Macaca fascicularis: one gene and its partners. The protein of the gene in region 2 binds, or shares a complex with, the protein of the main gene of each other region. Links are inferred from orthologs where the notes say so. Each region holds a gene or a part of one and is shown on either strand. Other genes may lie near its edges.

Region 1 (6,923 bases), on a different chromosome or scaffold from region 2:
TAATCCTCAGGATGACATCATAAAACAGGTATTTATTCATTCAGCAAATATATAGAGTGCTTATCAAGTACCAAGTACTGTTCTAAATACCAAAGATGAACATGATAGGCAAAGCCCTTGCCCTCATCAGATGATATTCTAGTGAGAAGAGGTAAACAGTAAGTAAGGAAACAGAGAATCTAATAAAACAAGCAAGCTTGTCAAATAGTAGCATTATAGAGAAAATTCTAACAGGATACTAAGGCAGAGATGAGGAAAGGAAAGAAGAGATTAGTTTACATTCTGATTAGGGAACCTTCTCTGAGGAAGTGACCCATCAGCTGAGACCCAAACAACAAGAAGGAGCCAGACACATAAGCTCTAACAGAAGACTCCTAGGGGACAGCAGCAAGTAGAAATCTCTTTGGATGGGAGTGGGCTTGGCGGAACTAATGAGGATGGCGTATGAGTGAGGAGCAGTGTAGTACAATACAAAGCCAGAGAGGTGCGAGGGGTCCTATCAAGGAGGACCTTGTAAGAATATGGTAGGGGGCTTAGATTTTATGCTATGTGAAAAAGAAAACCAGTGGCGGGTTTTAAGCAAAGGAACTTTGTAAAGGATCGCTCTTGTTACTATGAGACAACTGAGGGAAACTAGAGAAGCAGGAAGATAGTTCAATAGTTATTACAGTTCCAAGTAAGAAATAACAGTGGTTTGGAACAGGATAATAGCAGCAAGATGGACAGAAGCAGGTGGTTTCAGGTTATATTTTACATTTTGGAGGTAGATCCAAAGAACTTGTTGATGGATAGGGGAAGCAGGGGAAAGGGAGGACTCAGTGAAGAATTGTAGCTTTTAGGCTTGAACAACTGGATTAGACAGTGGTGCTACTATGATGAGAAGATGGAAGGAAAAAGAAGTGGCCTGTTAAGACAATAAATGAGGTATGTCAGATAAGCTGCTAGATACATGTTTGGAGCTCAGAGAACTCAGGCCAGAGGTATAAATTTGGGAGCTATTATATATATATAATAATATTGTGTGTGTGTGTGTGTGTGTGTGTATAAACATACAGCTTGAATTTAAAGCCAGTAGATTAAAGTCACTTTAGGAGAGTTTATGCATTTATAATAATTTTTAAAGCCTAGGACTGAGTCCTGAAGTACTCAATTGAGAAGGAATAGCCAGTGAGTTGGGAGGAAAACCAGGAGAGTGTGGTGTCCCAGGAGCCAAGAGAAAAACGCGAGAGAATTATGAAGAGGCTAAATAAGAACAGAATCAGTTTTAAAGGTCGCTTGTGATCTCAACAAGAACAGTTTCAGGGCTTTTGTGGGGATAACATACGACTGGAGGGGCTAAAAGAGGGAAAGGAACTTAAGGACACTGAGAAAGTGTCTAGATAAGACTTTGGAAAACCTCTGATGTGAAGGGGAGCAAAGAAATCGGATGGCAGATGAAAGGGTTCACGGAATTTTTTTCTGAAAGAGTCTTGCTCTGTCATCCAGGCTGGAGATCAGTAGTGCGATCCTGGCTCAGTGCAGCCTCGACCTCCCTGGGCTCAAGTGATCCTCCCATGTCAGCCTCCTGAGTAGCTGGGACTACAGGCGCGTGCTGCCACACCCACCTGATTTTTCCATTTTTTGTAAGGACAGGGTTTCACCATGTTGCCCAGGCTGGTCTCAAACTCCTGGGCTCAGGTAATCTTTCTGCCTTGGCTTCCCAAAGTGCTGAGATTACAAGTGTGAGTCACCATACCCAGCAGAATTTTTAAGACTGGATCTAATAAAGTATGGTATCAAAAACTTGTTTTTAAGATGGGAGACATTTTTACCCCAATTCTCAGGAAAAAGTAAAGTTTAGAAAGGTCAAGAAACTTGCTTAACTTGCTTAAGGTCATAAGGCTAGACAGTGGGTCTAGACTCAAATTCAGGTTTGACTCCAAAGCTTACCATCTTTCCACATTTCCCTGCTGTCTCTGATTCATAGGATAATTAAGAAGGAGATAAAATACAAGTCATGTTTTCTGGTGAAACTGTAAGAGAATAACACTAATATCTTCATATATTGATACAGCCAAGGAGGAATAAGGTAAAACCAGCAGGATTGTAACAGATAGCTTGGTTCTGAGTGCTATGAACCACCTACCTTTATGTTTTATTGCAAATGGAATGATGCACATCAAATTCACTCCAGCAGACTTAATACTAAAAGAAAGGAAATTTATATGATCTGTCTATGGATGCTCTTACCCACCTTGCTTTTTTTGAAGTCAAAGCTTTATTTTCATTCAGCTTTCTCCCACCACTTTCTGTATCAGAATAAAAGATATTTTAGTGGGTTATTTCTATACATTTAACATAAAACATTAAGAAGTTCATTCTTTGACTTTCTACCAAAATAGTAGTCTGTATCTAATTTTTAAATCCTCATTTAGTAGGCTATTAAGACACTGCTTAAAAAGAAAACATTTATTAGGGAAACAGTAAAAATTTGTATAAAATACAATCATTTTATTTCTCAGACTCAAGGGAGTACTTTAGGAATGGGTCTATATTTACTCTATATAGTGTAAAATCTAGAAGCCACTACTTCAGTGTCATAGACCTTCAATATAATGAAAATGTTTATTTGTCTACGCTTTGAAAACATACTTTACTATATGTATTTAATAATAATGAAGGTAAATACTTCATTATAAAGATTTAATGATAATGAAGGTAAAATGGGTTAAAGCATTTATTTATTCAAGAATATAAAAATCAGAAGATTTAAAAAAATTTCTCCTCAGAAGAGTGGGGAAATTAAAAACAGACTCTAAATAAGCTGAATCAAATCAAATATTGTGATAATCAAATACTGTGATATTGTCACCACTTGACAATCATTTAATAATTTTGCTATCTCCTGATATTGGGAACCCATACAAGTAACTGAGAACTAAATAAAAGATATTAAATCACTTGGGGACCCAGTATTCTTTAATATTTAATAGATAAAATACTTTGAACATACAACATTTCATTGTACAAATAATGTAAAAGCTAAAATATAATTCACAGTAAGTATTTGGTTAAATTCCTATTTTCTAAAAGAAGAAATACCTGTGGTATTCCTAGCACCATCTTTCCATGTATCTGGAGTGATAACAGTACCAAGTTTCTTTTCACCTGTTAGAACAAGATAGTAAAAGGAAAATTAAAATTTACTATTTCATAAGTGCATTACATTGTGCCTAAGGCTCACAATGGTATCGACTATCAATGCTATTACCATAGGAGCCTGTTAATGCTGAGAAAGCAGCCAGTCAACTGAGACTCATATTAACTGTGGGCAATGAATGACTGACCGTCGGTAAAATTCGCAGGATAATAAGATGGCTTATAATAAGCTTTCACTGTTTGTTTATACTTTTAAAAAATCCAATAAGTCTATTTGTTCCATAAATATTTACTAAGCATCTATGATGTATAAACTATAGAAAGTGCTGAGAAAAAGTGATGAATCAGACAAAATTTTAATGAGATTATAGTATACTAATTTCTTTAACAGCAATCTGTAACCTGGGTTCCCCAGGTGGATCTTAAGAGATATGTGAACAAGGTGGAGTTGTACACAAACCTTTTATATTTTCAGTTTTTTTTCCTGGCAAGAGGCTACAGTTTTCATCAGATTCTCAGAGGGATCACAGACCGTCTCCCCAAAAAGAACCATTCAACCAAAATGTAAGCTAAAAAATAAAAGATATAATAATTGAGAACTAAAGTACTAGGAGAAATTCCAGGCAGGAAAAAATAACCCTGGCTAAGGAAATCCAAGAAAACAAAGTTTGGAGAGAAGGCAAGAGAGAGGATTTGAATATGTGGCAACAGGACTGTGAACAAAAAGGAGTAAAGAGGATGAACGCAAACTAGATAAAGGACACATTCTGAGGAAAGGCATAGAAAGCTTAGAGTACACATGGGCACAAAGAGTATTTTGTTTGGTCAAAGTGTGAAGAGGATGAGGGTCAGTGAAAATGAAGCTGGAAAAATAAGTTAGCGCCTTAGTGTGGAGGGTACTGAACGTCAGGTTCCAAATATAGAATCCCCAAATTATTCTCTGCACACTGAGAGTTTATTAAAGGATTTAAATTAGGGAAATAATAATTTGCACTTACGTTGATGTTCAATTCAAACATCTCTGGGTTTACTCTACGCCATATCCTGGCATAATGACTAATGAGAATGAATAAGGCAAAGTCCTAAGTCTTTGGTTCCAGTGTCTAACATTTGGCAGGAGTACAATACTTGTTACACGAATAAAAAGGAAAGGACAGGAATTGCCAAGAGGGAAAGGTGTCGCTGGGGTTTAACTGAACATTTTTATATGGGAGGGGAGCCGATGAGATCTGGGGCTGGGGGAAGGCAATGGAAATAGAGAGGGAGGTGCAGAACTGAGACCATTCTGAGTACAAAATACATAGGACTGTATGGTCGTTGGGGAGGTGCAAAAATGGTCAAAGGGTAGGGTAGAAAGACAGCGGCTAGAATCAGAGACCTGTGGGCGAAAAAAACAAAGAGAAGGCAAAGTTCCCGGGAGGGCTCAGTTAGATTATCCCAGCCTCCTCCTCCCGCAGAAGCAGCCCCTTAACTCACATTTTTCGCACACCATCCTTCCCCACGACAGTTCCCCTAGCCGCAACAGGAGCAGCAGGAGCCTGAAAACATCAACACTGTAACTGGGAAGTATTCCCCTTCCGGGCTACGTCAATCCACTTCCGGCTTCTAAGCCCACCGCTCCCGCCTACCCCAAACCTGGAAAGCCGCGGGAGGAATGAACGCGAGCGGCTAGGTGGGGCTGCCCCATTTGCCCGCCCCTCCCTTTCTGCGACTGGCTGTTCGGCCGTGGGTGTCCGCCCCACAACCCTGCGTCTGCGCGTGGGCCTGGGCCTCCTGTCGTACCTGATGGTGGGAGGCAGTAGTTCCCCGCTTCCCTTCCGCGGGCGGGAAAGTTAGGTAAGCCTCGCTGGACTTCCCAGGCGCTCTCGCCTCCCGGGGTGCAAGTCACCCCCGCGAATTGCCGAAGCAGCCCTGAGCCTCGGCGCCCCGGCCCGCCAGCTCTCGCCGTCAGCTCGAGCGCCACTCTTCCGGCGTGCCCTGATGGACAGACCCCCTTTCGGATCCGAGTTTTTGCCTCTGTCCCCCAGTTTTTCTTTGTCTCCAACTCCCGAGCTCTTTGATCCTGCTTCTCAGCTGGTTCCTCGCTGCCCACGCTCGCGCCGGCCTAGGGTCGGGCAGAATTCCCAGCGACCAGGGTTGGGGTGGAGCTGCCGGTGGAGGTGCGGCGATGCCCGTGAAGGCTCCTCTGGGGGCCGCTCTGAAGAGCCTTCTCTCCGCTGCGGTGCCTGGGGAAGGTGGGCCGCGTCATGCCCGTGGCACCCCTGCAGGCGCCCTGGGGGCACGCCAGGGCCTAACACGGTGCTGGTTTCCCAGGAGAGTTGGTTTCCCACTTTGCCTACTCTGGTTCCTTCATTCACTCAGCAAACGGTTGAGTTTGGTAACTGCTCACTGTATTACATCCACATCTGATGGCAGCTGCGATTCCGAGGGTGGCTCAGAAAAATGGCTGAAGGGCTATCTGTTGAGAGAATGGATTCCTGATCCCCTTGCCCTCCCTCAATCAGCTTAAGAGAATCTATGGGAAAGTTTACCATTGTCCCTTCTTGCCATCCGTTTGCTTCTTCATGCCTAGTGTATTTCCTTATACCAGAGAGAGAGCTGTAGCGCGTGGGACCTTGGACCACCTCACCTGTTTGCCTTGTTTCCTTATCAGTAAAATATCTGCCTTTGAAAAGCACTGGGTGAATTAAATGAGAGCTATTAGGATAAGGCCCAGGTTCGCCCTTCTGCTTTTCACACTAGCGGGCGCCCCTCCGCGCGCGCGCGCGCCCACGTGTGTGTGTGTGTGTGTGTGTGTGTGTGTGTGTGTAGTATTTTTTTCTGAGATATTTCTATTTTCTGGAATATTCTCCATAGTGTAACATATTGACTGTTACTTTAAATTAATAAAGTCCTTGTTTAACAGTACAATTAACTCTCAGGTAATTTAAATACGTGTATTGTAGAGATGAGTAATTTGTTTTCCCTCCTTCCATTCGTGCTCTACTTTTGGTTGGAATTTAACACCTGTAACAGACGTTGTCATCTTGGTGTTTCTGAAGCATCGAGATCCCTTAGTTTAGTGTGGTGCTCTTTGAACTCTTGATTCCACTGGCCACCATTTGAGTATTCGAGTGTGCACTTGGTGTCATTTGGCATTTGCTAGAAGATGTGAACTACTGTAATGTTAGACAAGAGTAAAAAAACCCCAGCAATTTAGCCTAAGTATATATTTGGGGTTGTTGGAATTATAACTTATGCATTCTGGAAACCTCATAAATAAACTTTGGTTATAATTCCAACAGGCAGTAGATAATTTAATCCACACAGTTGATTTCATCTCTGTGATATTGGCCAAAAAAGTTTAAATGAATTGTTTTATTGGTCCTAGGACATGACCCTTTTGCAGAAACCAGTCACAATATTTAAGAAATTAGTAAATTTGTTTTTTTAAGACTCTGAGAGATGTTTGTACCATATTAAGAAAATCAAAGGTAGAATAAAAAGTCTATATGTGCATCTACACTTCTGCATCTTCTGTGTTTTGAAACAAATACATTGCTCATAGCAAATTGACTTTATGACTTATTTTTAAGGGTTGAAACATTTAAGACAATGGAAAAAGTCATTATTGCGTATGCTCTTCCTTTCTTGTTTTTCGTTAGCTAGCCACCCGAGAAAACACCATGAAAGACACCGATATCAAAAGACTACTGTATACCCATCTTTTATGCATATTTTCGATTATCCTAAGTGTCTTCATTCCATCACTCTTCTTGGAGAACTTCTCAATATTGGAAACACAC
Region 2 (6,912 bases):
GAGTGTGGAAATTGGTACAACCTTTTGGAGAGCAATTTGGCAATGTTTATAAAACATCTTTAAAATGCTAACATATTGATCCATATTCCTCTTTCACTAAAGAGACCATGAGGGATGCATACAAAAATGTATATACTATAATGCACACTGCAGTATAATTCATAATAGCAAACCACTGGAAATAACATCCAGCATTTTTTTTAAAATGATAAAGAGATATGCCAAAACATTAAGGTTTTCCTTAAGAGTGTGTTCTATTTTCTTCTTTATACTTTATTTTGCCAAATGTTCTATAATGACTATATATTACCTTCAAAATAAGAAACAAAGTAGATTTCTTTTTTTTTTTCTTTTCTTTTTTTTTTTTTTTGAGATGGGGGAATCTTGCTTTGTCCCCCAGGCTAGAGTGCAATGGTGCAATCCTGGCTCACTGGAACCTCCACCTCCTGGATTCAAGCAATTCTCCTGCCTTAACTTCCCAAGTAGCTGGGATTACAGGCGCGCACCACCATGCCTGGCTAATTTTTGTATTTTTAGTAGAGATGGGGTTTCCCCATGTTGGCCATGCTGGTCTCAAACTCCTGACCTCAGGTGATCCGCCCACCTCAGCCTCCCAAAGTGCTAGGATTACAGGCGTGAGCCACCATGCCCAGCCAACAAAGCAGTTTTTTGAAAGGCACTGTTATCAGCGGCAATCTTCATGGAGAGCAACGTGTGTAACCAGAATAGAGAATAGAGAATTAGAATAAACAAACAAGCACACGTGCTAGCTGATCATCACTCAATGCAAGTAGAACTAAACAGCTCCAAGAGGGAAGGCTGAGTAGAAGTACACAAAGGGGTAGAAATTATAGGCTGCACCTGCTGTGAACCTTGCAACATCCACAAGTTGAAGGAAGCAATCTTTGTCCCTGCCAGGGCCCTCCACTCGTGTGGGTTGCCCAGGTTCTCTATCACAGCCTTCTTCTCACGGGTATTGCCCAATTCCTTTCCCATGGCTTGCTGCCCCATAAGTGGCCCAACCACTCAGCCAGGGCCCTCTGTCCATGGATGGCCCTACCATCCTGCCATAGCAATCCCTCTGCCAGTGTATGCTACCTGTGTTTGCTTGGCCAGCCCCTTTTGCCATGGTCTGCTACCTGTACATGCTGTCCAACTTCTCTGAAACAGTACTATGCTCTGAAGGCCTACAAAACCCAAATGTAGTGGTCCTTTGCACCTGTGCCAAGATCCTCTGGCCCTGTGGACTAACTGTGCTGTTTACCTCTGGGGTTGCAGGCCAGCTGCCCAGCCCCTCTCCTACTAGCTGCTACTACCAGTATGAGCCACCAACACCCTCTCCCACCAAATGCTGCTGCCAACACCTCAGCAGAATGAAGAATATACAGATCTCCTATTCATTCTTGTTCCTCGTCAGGCTGTGATTCTCAGCCTCCAGGTAGAGATTGGCTTTGCTCACTAACCTTACATTCATTGAGAATCAAAGAAAGCAAACTACAACCTTCTTTCTGTTTTTCATCCCAATTCCTCTGTGGTTTGCCCCAGTCGTATGATGCCACACAGGCAAGGACCAGAAGGGCCCTGTGACCATGGGTTACCCCTAGTTTGCAAGAGCCCAAGGAGGCGTACCAATATGGAACCTTCCTGAGGGTTCCAGTCTGTTCCAGTCTAGGCCCAGGCTGAACAAACCTCAGTGAAAAACAACAGAAATAGACTAGAATCCCCAAGATGGCCTCCCAAATTAACAAACCTCTTGGATCTCCCACAGGAGAACATTCTAGAACCATGTCCTGGGACTGATCTAGACTAGAGCAGAAGCTCCAGCCCTCCCCATGCAGGGACACCATTCAGCCTAGAGTGAAAATAAGTGGTTTTTGTGATGCCACAAAATGCATTACAGAAAAAAGTACTCTGTCGACTCAGGAGGCAGGAAATGAAAGGGGACTTACTGTGAGAACACACAGATGATGTCCCCTTCAGTCAGTTCATAAGGAAGCCCTCCTAGAAAAGAAAACCACATTTCAGTTCCACCAACATTTACCAAGTGTTTACTACGTACCATGCACTAGGCCAGGCACTAGGGGTGCAAACAGTAAGCAACAGGCCCTGCCCTTAAAGAAATCAAGTCTGGGCTGGGCACCATGGCTCACGCCTGTAATCCCAGCACTTTGGGAGGCCAAGGCGGGTGGATCACCTGAGGTCAGGAGTTCGAGACCAGCCTGGTCAACATGGCGAAACCCCGTCTCTACTAAAACTACAAAAAAAATTAGCCGGGCGAGGTGGCGGGCACCTGTAATCCCAGCTACTCAGGAGGCTTAAGCAGGAGACTCGCTTGAACCCAGGAGGCAGAGGTTGTAGTGAGCCGAGATCACGTCACTGCACTCCAGCCTGGACAACAAGAGTGAAACTCCAACTCAAAAAAAAAAAAAAAAAAAAGAAAGAAAGAAATCAAGTCTGATGCAATGACAGAAGTACATGTAAGGTGCCAGTAGAACAGGAAAAGGAGTGACTAATTTTGAGTGGAAGTCAGTGTCACCACTAACAAAAGTAAACTGATCACTCAGTCCTCCTGGCACCCAAAATCCTATGGGCAAAGCAGATAGTTTCCATCACAAACCTCTGCTTCCACAAACATGTTGAATTCATCTGCTCATTACCCACAAATTTACAGCTATGATACAAAATTAGTCTACATATGTCATGATTAACCCCACCTACACATAGACAAAGGTTATAAAGACACTGTTAAGCATTTCCTAGGGAATAATTTCCCTTCCAAATGTTTCTTTCCTCATCTGTAAGATGGGGATATTAGCAGGTAACTCGCAAGACTGTTATAAGAGTTAAATAAAACGATGCATATAAAGTGCTTAGCACAACGTTTTTACAATAACCTCTTTGAAGCATCAAACTTGTACAATTACTGGTTGTGATATAAAGTGAATACAGTAATGGTAGTGTGGCCATGGTCAGAAAGCAGGAGCTAGAGGAGCAAAGTGAATTCTGCAAGGGAAGGGGAATGGGGGAGGGCGGTGGTAGCAATATGGGGCTGTGGCTAAGACCATGAGTTCTAGAAAGCTATAGTTCTGCCTGTTGCGGTTATTAGCTATGTGACCTTAAGGAAGTCCCTTAACTTCTCTGCACCCCAATTTCCTCAGCTGTAATAACGGGTCAGGGGGTGAGAGAGAAATAACAACAGTCCCTGAACCTTAGCACAGCAAATGGCAAACAGTAACTCTCATGAGCACTGATTTGGCTGGGAAGGAAAACTAAAAATGGGGCAGAAAAAAAAAAAAAAAAAAAAGATGGAACACGGATTCCCGGGCAGACAGCAGATGGATATAAAGGAGGGCAATGAATGTAAGCAGGAGTGAAGGGTGAAAATGCTGAAATAGTCGGACACCGAGCAGGAGAATCTTGGGAGCACTGCGGAAGAAAGATGTGCACCTCACCCAGGAAGATCCAGGCGCTGTCCTTGTACTCGGAGTGCCAGGACACTTTATCGGCCACCCCAAGCTGGACCTCTCGTTCATTCAGCTCGTTGATCAGCTTCACCTTAGTTAAAGGACTTCACGGTGGCGGGGGTGAGGGGAGGCAGAAAAGCAGACAAGTAAATGCTAACCGGCCGAAGCTGAAGAAGAGCAAAACAAGGGGACGAGGTGTTCTAGTCCCCGCGCCTCTCCCGCCCCTCGACCCCGCAGACGCTCTACCACCCCAGCCCCAGTAGACCACCCTCAGCGGCCCGCTGCTCGTTCCTCAAAAGGAAGCTGACGCCTTACTTCATCTCCGCGGGCTCGCGCTCAGCATTCAGGAATCAGCGCCCGGGAAAGGCAGCGCCGCGCATGCGCGGCCCCGGCGCCGGTGGCTCGTCGAGTCGGTGACCTCGCGCCGGAAGAGCTGGGGCGTACCGGGGCGTGGCGCCTGCGCACTAGAAGCCTTCCGCGTTCTTTGCGGTTACCTCTTGTAGAAACGGTTTTTCTCTAATTTTTCGCTTTTTCTCCTCTGTGAAATGGGGTAAAGGCACGAGCCTGGGCTGTTGCAGGACCCCCAGCTCTTGAACGATATCGGAAACTGGTTAGATTAGCTATAAATATTTGCTGAATGAACGGAATAAGCAGCCTGATGTGGCGACTTTAGTCTCAGCCCTCGCTCCCAGTCCAGAGTCCCACTTGGACCTTCGCTCTTAGTCAGTTGCTCACGCACAGACCCATCAAAGCATCCCTGTCATGGCAGAAAAGTGAAGAAGATAGGTGAAAAGGTAAATCTTCTGTTGTTCTTATCCCAATACATAGGCAACAGACCAGTGTGCCTCTATAGGCTGAATTGAATACCTACAGATTTGCATGAGAGCCGCTGCACTTACTCTTTTCCATAGGCTCTCTCCTAGTTGAGCAGGAGACAGAAATTAATATTGTTAAATTAATAGCTAGCAAGTGAGCAGATGATGTACTGTATGATACTAGAGTATGTGCTAAGCAATTTACATGTATTGTCTCTCCACCCTCACAACAACCCAATGAAGCAGATAAAATTACAATTCCTGGCCGGGCGCAGCAGCTCATGCCTGTAATCCCAGCACTTTGGGAAGCTGAGGGAGGAGGATTGCTTGAACTCAGGAGTTTGAGACCAGCCTGGGCAACATAGCAGAACCTGTCTCTAAAATAAAGGAAAAAAGGGGGGGCCAGGTGTGGTGGCTCACACCTGTCATCCCAACACTTTGGGAGGCTAAGGCAGGTGGATCACCTGAGGTCAGGAGTTCAAGACCTACCCAGCCAACATGGTGAAACTCTGTCTCCTCTAAAAATACAAAAATTAGCTAGGCATGGTGGCACACGCCTGTAATCCCAGCTACTCGGGAGGCTGAGGCAGGAGAATCACTTGAACCTGGGAGGCAAAGGTTGCAGTGAGCTGAGATCGCACCACTGCACTCCAGCCTGGGCAGCAGAGCGAGACTCCTTGTTTTTAAAAAAAAAAAGAAAGAGAAAGTAAAAGAAATTTCCACCCTCGTTTTGTAGAGGAAGAAATGAGGCTCAAATGAATAAATTAACTAGAAAGGTACTAGAGCACCTGCACCCAGTAGGTCAGGTTGATTCAATCAGTCCTTACTGAACATCTAGATTTGTCCTGTGCAGCTAAGGTCTGTAGACAGGAGTATCAGGTTGGGTCCTCTGCCCTCAAGGAGCTAATATTATAATTAAGGGGACAAGATATATTTGCCTGATAGATTTCAACCAGAAATATCTAGAAACCAGTGGAAGAGATGATTAACATATAATATGTGATTTAACCCATATTGACAGTTTGAATCCATTTTGCACATGTCCACATCAGTACCTGCTCTTGGACCATGATGTTCTAAAAGTAAAAGTCCAGAGCTGTGTGGCCTATCTCAGAGCACCAGATATTAGGTCCTTCATAAAAACATTTTGATGACGATACCAACTGTACCCTCAAGTGGCCCACCATGTAACCAATGTCCTGCCAAAAAGGAGAACAGAGCCTGCCCACCAATGACAGTTTCTCCTCATTCATTCTATGTCTGTTCCCCCTTCCCCATTCCAACCTAGCTATTCATTAACTTTGTAAAATTATCTTGGCAATGAAAGCTAAACAGTGACAGATTGCATATGGGGGTTATCTGCTCCTAGGAATCTCAGGTTGCTTAGTTGTGGGTTGAAGTAGCCACTGCAGAGTGATAAACTAGCATGCAGCATTATCTTGCTGACTCTTTCAAATGGCTGTGAAATGAGAGAGTTAAGACTATACCTGGGGATAAGTCATCAGTGTTCCAAGAGAAGCTGGAGCAAAAGAGTAGAATAAGACCAATTTAGATTGAGAACATGAGAAGGCTATTATTACTATGCAGCTGGTAGGTTCAGCAGAGCTATTCTGAAGGTGAGAGAGCTGAATATTGCTTCAGTTTTCCTGGAACTGAGAAGTTTCTGAGACTTCTGACCTTTGGAGCTAAAATTGGCAACCCCAGAACAAACCAGGATGGTTGATCACCCTAGGAGATCCTGAAGTAAATAACGAAGCAAGGAAGTCAGACTTTCCATAGATGTACTTGCAATTGACAGGAATTGGTAGGTAAGGTGATGCCTAGAGATATCCATAAGTATGAGTTGAAAAGAGGTGGGGATGCAGAGGACCCTCTGAACTTAACATCTGAAAGTAGAACCAGGGTTTGGCATCCAAGGTGGCTGTAAGTGATCTCCACCAGTAACATCCATTTAGCAAATATTCTATGCAGTATTTAGTTCTAGCTTCGGAGGGTAATGCTAAGGTAGTCAATGGCAGTCCCTGCATTCAAGGAAAGGCTGAACTATCTATCTAGCCAGAGTCATCTCCCAACTTCCCACCACCACACCACACCCCCAAACAGTTTTTCCCCCAGACTACCCTATTTTGGACAATGTTATCACCATTTTCCTGGTTGCCCAGGCTCAAAAACATGGGTTTCATATTTCAGTCTTCCCTGTTCTTCACCTCAACATATGCATCCACTCACCAAGTCCTAACAATTGTACTATTGCAGTATCTATAAAATGTGTCACTTCCAGTCACAGTCCTGAGTCATTAGCACATGCCTCCTGGCTCTTTCAGTACTCTTCTAGCTGCTCCAGCCCCTATTCTCCATTCTCTTCTGTCACTGTTCTCCACTTAAAGGCTCAACTTAAGCCAGGCTCCACTTCTATCCATTCCCTCAGAGGCCCCTTTCATCATCCCACCTTGGCACCTCTTCTGAGAGAGCCTTAGACCCCTGGGCCACCCTCCTCTCTCTTACTGAAATCTGCCCAAGCCCCAAACCCCCAACAAGTCATCCATCATGCAGGAAACCTTTCCTGATCTTATGACCCCACAGTGATGGCTCTTACTTCTTACTCTGTAACACTACAAAACTCCTTTATGTTC
Region 3 (6,923 bases), on a different chromosome or scaffold from region 2:
CCCCCATCCCGGTCTGGTCCACTCCCACTCCCCCAACCCCAGGCCGGCCACTGCAGTACTCACACCGCGCGCGTGGGCTCTGCCTCTCGCCCGGGCTGGGGGCGGCCGCCGCTATCTCTAGACCCTTGTCTTGAAATCCGCACGGGGTCCGAGGGTGCCCAGGGCCCTGCGCGCCGAGTGCCGGTGGCTTGCCTCTCAGCGCCTGGATGGGATCAGGTGGCGGCGTCCGCTAGGCTCGCTCCTCCCGGCTCTGCCCGCCCCCCGCCCCCCATCGCACACCGGAGGCAGGCGAGGGGCGGGGCCAGGCCGCGAGCAAGTAGGGGAGAGGGGAGAGAGGGGAGAGAGGGGAAAGAAAGCGGGAAGGGGGGTGGTCTCCCGGCTTGCCCGCTGGCTGTCGTGAACAGTCTCTGGGTGGCATCTTCAGATGCAGTTATCTTACTCTGGCAACCTTGCAGAGTTGGACACTAATGTGGCCAGCTGCCTTCTCTCACTCAGACAGGGAAACTGAGGCCAGGAAGGTGTCTGGATGCTCCTGCATTGCTGGGTATTCCGGGGCACCACCGGTCATATTTGGGCTCCTGGGTGAGCGAGACACAGGTACACTTGCAGGTACCCACATCCTCTCTATCCTCCTCCAGCAGAGAAGCAGTGCTCCAGCCTTGTCTGGTCCCATCTGTGCCCACACACCCACTTCCCTTCCAGCGTGTCCCCCATACCTTCTGATGTAGCTTCTGGCTGCTCACCCATTCTTCCTCGCTAGGACTCCAGACCCACTCACTCCTGATCAGAGCTATAGTGAGGCTGGGACCCCTGCCTAGGCACCTGCCATCAGGCATCAAAGAACCCAAGTTCAATCCTGGTTTGCTCTTAAATCCCAAAGTCAAGAGGCAACTCCCTGAGCCCTATTGCTTCCAGCTCTAAAATGGGAAGCTGTTCTGAGGTAGCAGAGATAATACACATGAAGGATTCATGTGAACTTCTTAGTCCTCAGTTCCTATCACCTGGGAGCTGGGCAGCAGCACCTCTCAAAGCCATGCCAGACACTGAGAGCCCCACACTGAGTTCTGTGGCTGACCTGCCCACCTGCTTTTTATTTTGCTCTGGGCCTGGTAAAGCAAGGATCCTGGAGCTGGGTAGTCATCCAAAGGTGGGACTGGAAGGGGCTGGATACGCCCTTCTAGGTCCACATAGGAAATAGGTAGTATTGTATGAGGGTCCTTGTTACCGTTAAGGAGGAGGAAATTGGGACTCTGAGAGTCAGAAGGACTGCTGGTGGCCCCAGTTCGGCCCCTTGGGCATGTCACCTTCTCTGCCCATCAATCCTCCACTGTGTACAAGGTCGGGGTCGGAGGAGGATCTTGATACCTTGCCTCTTTCCCAGAGCTGTCATAAAATGAGGCTCCACCATCAGCCTTTAGTTTATCCTGCCTCAGAGACCCCGCCCCCTTCCCTAGCACCTACACATCGCTTGAGGCCTTCAGCCTCAGATGACCTGCTCTGGGCTCTCCAGTTACAGGGAGCAGAAGAGCCTTCCTTTGGGCTAGAAAGGTTCTGCCTGAGTGGGCTGACAAGCTGGAGGGAAGGGCACCATTGTTCTGTCTTCCTTACTGTCCTTTCCAGGTTTGGCTTCCCCTCTGGGAGTGGCAGCAGGAGCCTGCCATAGTGATATTGATGCAAAGGGGAAAGGTCAAGGTTTGGGTAGGAGGAAGAGGACTTCCCACCCAGTGCTAGGATGTGAGCCAACCTTTCTCAACCCAATCCTTTTCCCTGTCTCTCCCAAACCTCACCTTCCCCAGACCTGGTGCCCCATTCTTTTTTCCCCTGTTCCCAGCTTCTTCTCCACGGGGGGCAGTTGGCAAAATGGAGCTGGAGAAAAGATCTGAAGGGGATGTTTGGGGGAAAATGAGACCATTTCACTGAAGTCTCCCCATTCCCGTACTCAATACACATAAAAACACACACAGTGAGCCTGGCTGTTAGTGACAGGGCAGAGCTAGTGGCAGAGGTGGGGAGAGAAATTGAATTGATGGTGTGGGACAGCGAGAGGTGGATGCTAGGCAGGCAAGAATCCCTGCCAGTATCTGCCTCTGTCCCCAAAGACCACGGGGAGTTGGGGTGGGGAGTGGGCGGCAAGGTGGGCCCCCAGTGCAGGTGCGGCTGAGGGAAAAGGGGCCTGAGTTTATTTTTGAGACTAAAAGACACAAATACTGTCACCAGAAACATTGTTCCTTTTTCCCAGTAATCATTTATTGGGCGCCTCTTGAACGGCAGGTGATGCGAGACTGAAAAAGATCAAGTCCCTGCTCACATTTTTGGGATGCAGGTAGGAAGAAAGGGCAAGAAAGACTTATCAAACGGTGGAGATTCGAATGTATTATGGGAACTCTAAGAAAGGAAAGGAAAGCGGGAGAAAGCTTAGTGAAGACGACATTTGAGCCGGCTTGGAAGGTGGAAAAGGGGGCTTTAGTGTCGCCCTTCCCCCAGGTCGGCAGCTGGAGCTCAGCCCGGGCGGGCCCGCTCCTCTCCTGGCTCGGATCCCCTTTCAGCCCATTCATCCGGGCCTGGGCCGGGGGTGGGCGGGCAGACAATCAGACACTGTTTTATCCCGGGCATTGGCTCCAGCCTCCCGCTTGGCGCCCGCAACGCGGAGCCGCCGGGGAAATGAGTCTCTCGGGACTCCCTGGGAGCGTAAGAGTCCGAGGCTCTGACCGGGGAGCCGGGCCGGAAGGCTTGACAGCCTGCGCTCCCGCAGGTGAGGCGCAGAAAACACTCCCTCCGGGCAGGGCCAGCCTTCCCCGCAGCCCCGCCCTCCGGCCCGCCGCCGGCCTTCTGGGCCGTAGCCTGGCGCAGGGCCCGCAGAGACCGAGACCTGCGCACTACAACTCCCAGGAGGCCTAGCGACCAGACGGCCGAGGGGCCACTGAAGAAAGGGGCGTCTGCGGCGAATCCCGTCGCCTAGCGTACCGCAGCGGGTGGGCCTGCGTGCGCGTCGCCTCCCAACCAGAGAGGACGTGGCGTACGGCGCCGCCGGAAGTTCCGGAAAGTGGGCCCAGAGGCCGGCCCGAGCTTCCGGGTTGGTCGCGCGCCTTGCTGCGGCCAAGATGGCGACCGAGCATCCCGAGCCTCCCAAAGCGGAATTGCAGCTGCCGCCGCCGCCACCTCCAGGCCACTATGGCGCCTGGGCTGCCCAGGAGCTTCAGGCCAAGTTGGCAGAGATCGGAGCTCCGATCCAGGGTGAGGAACACAGAAAGTCGAGGGACCTTTACGGGCCTGCGGAGAAGCGGAGCCTGGTTACCCGGGAGACCCGGGCGCGAGGGGCGGAGGCGGGCAGCTGGGGTCTGACCTGGCCGGGCTTGCCTGCTCCATTGATCGTGTACTTTGCCCCGCAGGTAATCGCGAGGAGCTGGTGGAGCGGCTGCAGACCTACACCCGCCAGGTAGGTGTTGGCGGCGGGACGTCAGGATAGGCCGAGCTTCTCCAGGAGACCTTATATACCCCATCACGGCTCGGTCTTCATTCTTTCTTTATCTTGGCACAGCAAGGCGGAGGCTTGCCCTTTTTGGCTTGTTCTTGCCTTTGCCAGCTTAGTTGTAATTTCTTGTATCCATCTTGGTCCTCTTCAGTGCCCAGCCGGAGCGCTGGCAGACAGGCACTGGATACGTTTTGTTAAATGAATTGGGAGAGATCGTCGATTAGTGAAACAGCTAGTTTTGGACTGACCTAGAGTCCTTTCTCTTTTGCAGACTGGCATCGTGCTGAATCGGCCGGTTTTGAGAGGGGAAGATGGGGACAAAGCCGCTCCACCTCCCATGTCAGCGCAGGTAGGGAGGTTCTTCCATTTTTTAAGATTCTATCTGCTGATCCTTTTGTAGTTCATGAGCATGATGATTCGGTGTTCGCGTGCATGTGTGAGACGTCACACCCTTGCACATCTCGCCTGACCTGAGTGGGGAATAGAAAGATTCCATCTGTTCAGGGTAGCCCTTCCTCTTAATTGCAGTGTACTTGAGATGCAACTGACTGACTGGGCAAGGAGGTACTGCCATGACAGAATTGTGAGCTCTTCAGTTCTCTCTTTGATGCTGATACTTGCCTCCTTTTCCACTGTCTGCTTCTCCAAATTCTACCTGTCATTCAAGATTCAGCTTGTGGCCAGGTGCAGTGGCACATGCCCGTAATCCCACCACTTTGGGATGCTTAGATGGGAGGATCACTTGAAGCCAGGGTTCGAGACCAGCCTGGGCAACACAGTGAGACTCTTGTTACTACAAAAAATTTTTAAAAATTAGCTGGGCACGGCAGCACATGCCTATAAAGTCCAAGCTACTCTCTAAGCTGAGGCTCAAGGATTGCTTGAGCCCTGAGGTTCAAGGCTGCAATGAGCTCTGGTTGCGCCACTGTACTCCATGTACTCCATCCTGGGTGACAGAATGAGACTTTACTTCTCTGAAAAAAAAAGAAAAAAAAAGGTTGGGGGGTGATGGGGCAGGGGCTGGGAGATTGTCAGGAAAAATAGCAAATGCACGCCAGAATTAATACCTAGGCAGTGGGTTGATAGGTGCAGCAAACCACCATGGCACACATTTACCAATGTAACAAACCTGCACATCCTGCACGTGTGCCCCAGAACTTACAATAAAATAAAATAAAATAAAAAAATAGGGGGAAAAAAAAGAGGCAGGGGATGGTGGCTCATGTCTGTAATCTCAGCACTTTGGGAGGCCAAGGCGGGTGAATCGCCTGTGATCAGGAGTTTGAAACCAGCCTGGCCAACATGGTGAAACTGTCTCTACTAAAAATACAAAAATTAGCTGGGCGTGGTGGCACATGTCTGTAATCCCAGCTACTTGGGAGGCTGAGGCAGGAGAATCTCTTGAACCCAGGAGGCGGAGGTTGCAGTGAGCCAGTGAGCCGAGATCAGGCCACTGCACTCCAGCCTGGGCGATAGAGCAAGACTGTCTCAAAAAAAAAAAAAAAAAAGAGAGAGAGGCAGGGCATGGTGGCTCACGCCTGTAATCCCAGCACTTTGGGAGGCCGAGGCGGGCAATCACTTGAGGTCATGAGTTCGAGACCAGCCTGGCCAACATAGTGAAACCTCGTCTTTCCTAAAAATACAAAAATTAGCCGGGCATCGTGGCAGGCGCCTGTAATCCCAGCTACTTGGGAGGCTGAAGCACGAGAATTGCTTGAACCTGGAAAGCAAAGGTTGCAGTGAGCTGAGATTGCACCATTGCGTTCCAGCCTGGGTGACAGACTCTATCTCAAAAAAAAACAAACAAACAAACAAAAAAAAACAAAAAAAAAAAAACAGCTTGAATACAAGGAAGCCCGACTTGTCCCTACCCAGCTGGAAGCAATCACCCTCTTCTTTGCCTGCCCCAGGAACAGTTCCCATGTTCTTTTGTGAGACATTGAGAGCTCCCTGATTTGATTTCATACTCCTTGCATTTAGCAGTCATTGGGGTTTGCATTGCCCTGGTACAGTGGTTCCTGTTTATTTAAGTCCTCTCAATTTCCATGTTGCTTCTGATCCAGGATTTGCTTCTTTTTCTCTAAAGCAGTGGCTCTGACCTAGGATCTATTGATCTCTGTGTGTAGAATGAGGAGTCCCTAGATGGCCTCAGAGGTGTCTTTGAGTCTCCTGGAATTGTATGCAGAGTCTGTATTCAGGATATCTTTCTGGAGAGAGTGGATAGCTTATTGTGGTTGGTGCCGGAAGTTAACATTCTCATATCTTTATAGGGCTATGGAGCATTCTCTCTTACGAATTAGGAACTATGTGTCATTTGACTTAGAATCCCAGCTCCTGACTCAAAGTAGATCCCCCAGATATGTGCAGATGAGTAGATAAATGTTTCCTAATTTTATGATCATATTTTCTCCACAGCTCCCTGGAATTCCCATGCCACCACCACCTTTGGGACTCCCCCCTTTGCAGCCTCCTCCACCTCCCCCACCACCTCCACCAGGCCTTGGCCTTGGCTTTCCTATGGCCCACCCACCAAATTTGGGGCCCCCGCCTCCTCTCCGTGTGGGTGAGCCAGTGGCACTGTCAGAGGAGGAGCGGCTGAAGTTGGCTCAGCAGCAGGCGGCATTGCTGATGCAGCAGGAGGAACGTGCCAAGCAGGTAGGGCAGGTGGAAGCCCTGGCCTGGGCCTCATTAGGTCCCTGAAGGGGCAGTGGAGCCTTAAGAGAAAGCTGGGTCCTAGAACTAAGGCTTCTGGGAAGGTGGGGACTAAATATTGGAACATGGGCCCTTGACTGGAAGAGGATCTCAAGAAGCAAGAGTTGTGGCAGATTGGCCCGTTGGGTATTGGTGCTGGTATGAACTTGTTTTCTTTTTTAAGCAGGGAGATCATTCGCTGAAGGAACATGAGCTCTTGGAGCAGCAGAAGCGGGTAATACCCCTCCCCCTAACCTTTGACCTCATGGTCCAATCCATTGGCTGTCATTTGTATTGCTTCGAATGCACCAATCAAGTTTTGTTCCCAACTAAGTACTAGTGTCTTCCAAAGCATTCAATTTTTCTTGAAGTTCAGGAATTGACAGACTATGACCTGTGGCCTGTATGTGCATGGCCTGTGAGCTAAAAACAACTTTAAAATTTTTTAAGGATTATAAGAAAACCCAAACAAAAATATGTACCAGAGTCCATATGGTAATCCATAAAGCCTAAAGTATTTACCTTCCGACCTATTCAAAAAGAGCATGCTGACTTCTGCTCGCCTTACATGACATCATTCTAGATAGGACTCTGGGTAATTGAGTTATTTGTATTGGATTTAGACAAAATAGGACTGTAAGTCTGGGAATGTTATATAAGATATTTGGCCCCAGAGGTGCGTTGCATTAGTCATTACGCAGTGGATTACTCAGGAGTATTAAAAACTGAGCATTAAAAGCAACAAGTATGAGCTGGGCGT

What was found.
Region 1: RBMX2 (region 2) and CRIPT share a complex: the UniProt entries of both Homo sapiens proteins name them as parts of the minor spliceosome. The link is inferred for Macaca fascicularis from reciprocal best matches to the Homo sapiens genes RBMX2 and CRIPT.
Region 3: RBMX2 (region 2) and SF3B2 share a complex: the UniProt entries of both Homo sapiens proteins name them as parts of the minor spliceosome. The link is inferred for Macaca fascicularis from reciprocal best matches to the Homo sapiens genes RBMX2 and SF3B2.

Annotation. Positions count from the first base shown.
Region 1 is NC_088387.1:75,423,043-75,429,965, forward strand, and holds the start of CRIPT (cysteine-rich PDZ-binding protein), read right to left. Parts: upstream 4,718-6,923; 5' UTR 4,631-4,717; coding exon 4,615-4,630; intron 3,148-4,614; coding exon 3,082-3,147; intron 2,289-3,081; coding exon 2,234-2,288; intron 1-2,233. Other genes in the region: PIGF (phosphatidylinositol-glycan biosynthesis class F protein), read left to right, coding at 6,804-6,923. UniProt on the Homo sapiens protein: As a component of the minor spliceosome, involved in the splicing of U12-type introns in pre-mRNAs. Involved in the cytoskeletal anchoring of DLG4 in excitatory synapses.
Region 2 is NC_088395.1:136,674,898-136,681,809, reverse strand, and holds the start of RBMX2 (RNA-binding motif protein, X-linked 2), read right to left. Parts: upstream 3,849-6,912; 5' UTR 3,785-3,848; coding exon 3,780-3,784; intron 3,569-3,779; coding exon 3,453-3,568; intron 2,002-3,452; coding exon 1,950-2,001; intron 1-1,949. UniProt on the Homo sapiens protein: Involved in pre-mRNA splicing as component of the activated spliceosome. As a component of the minor spliceosome, involved in the splicing of U12-type introns in pre-mRNAs.
Region 3 is NC_088388.1:8,337,540-8,344,462, reverse strand, and holds the start of SF3B2 (splicing factor 3B subunit 2), read left to right. Parts: upstream 1-3,071; 5' UTR 3,072-3,101; coding exon 3,102-3,234; intron 3,235-3,389; coding exon 3,390-3,436; intron 3,437-3,743; coding exon 3,744-3,821; intron 3,822-3,860; exon of another isoform or gene 3,861-3,943; intron 3,944-5,887; coding exon 5,888-6,127; intron 6,128-6,347; coding exon 6,348-6,398; intron 6,399-6,923. UniProt on the Homo sapiens protein: Component of the 17S U2 SnRNP complex of the spliceosome, a large ribonucleoprotein complex that removes introns from transcribed pre-mRNAs.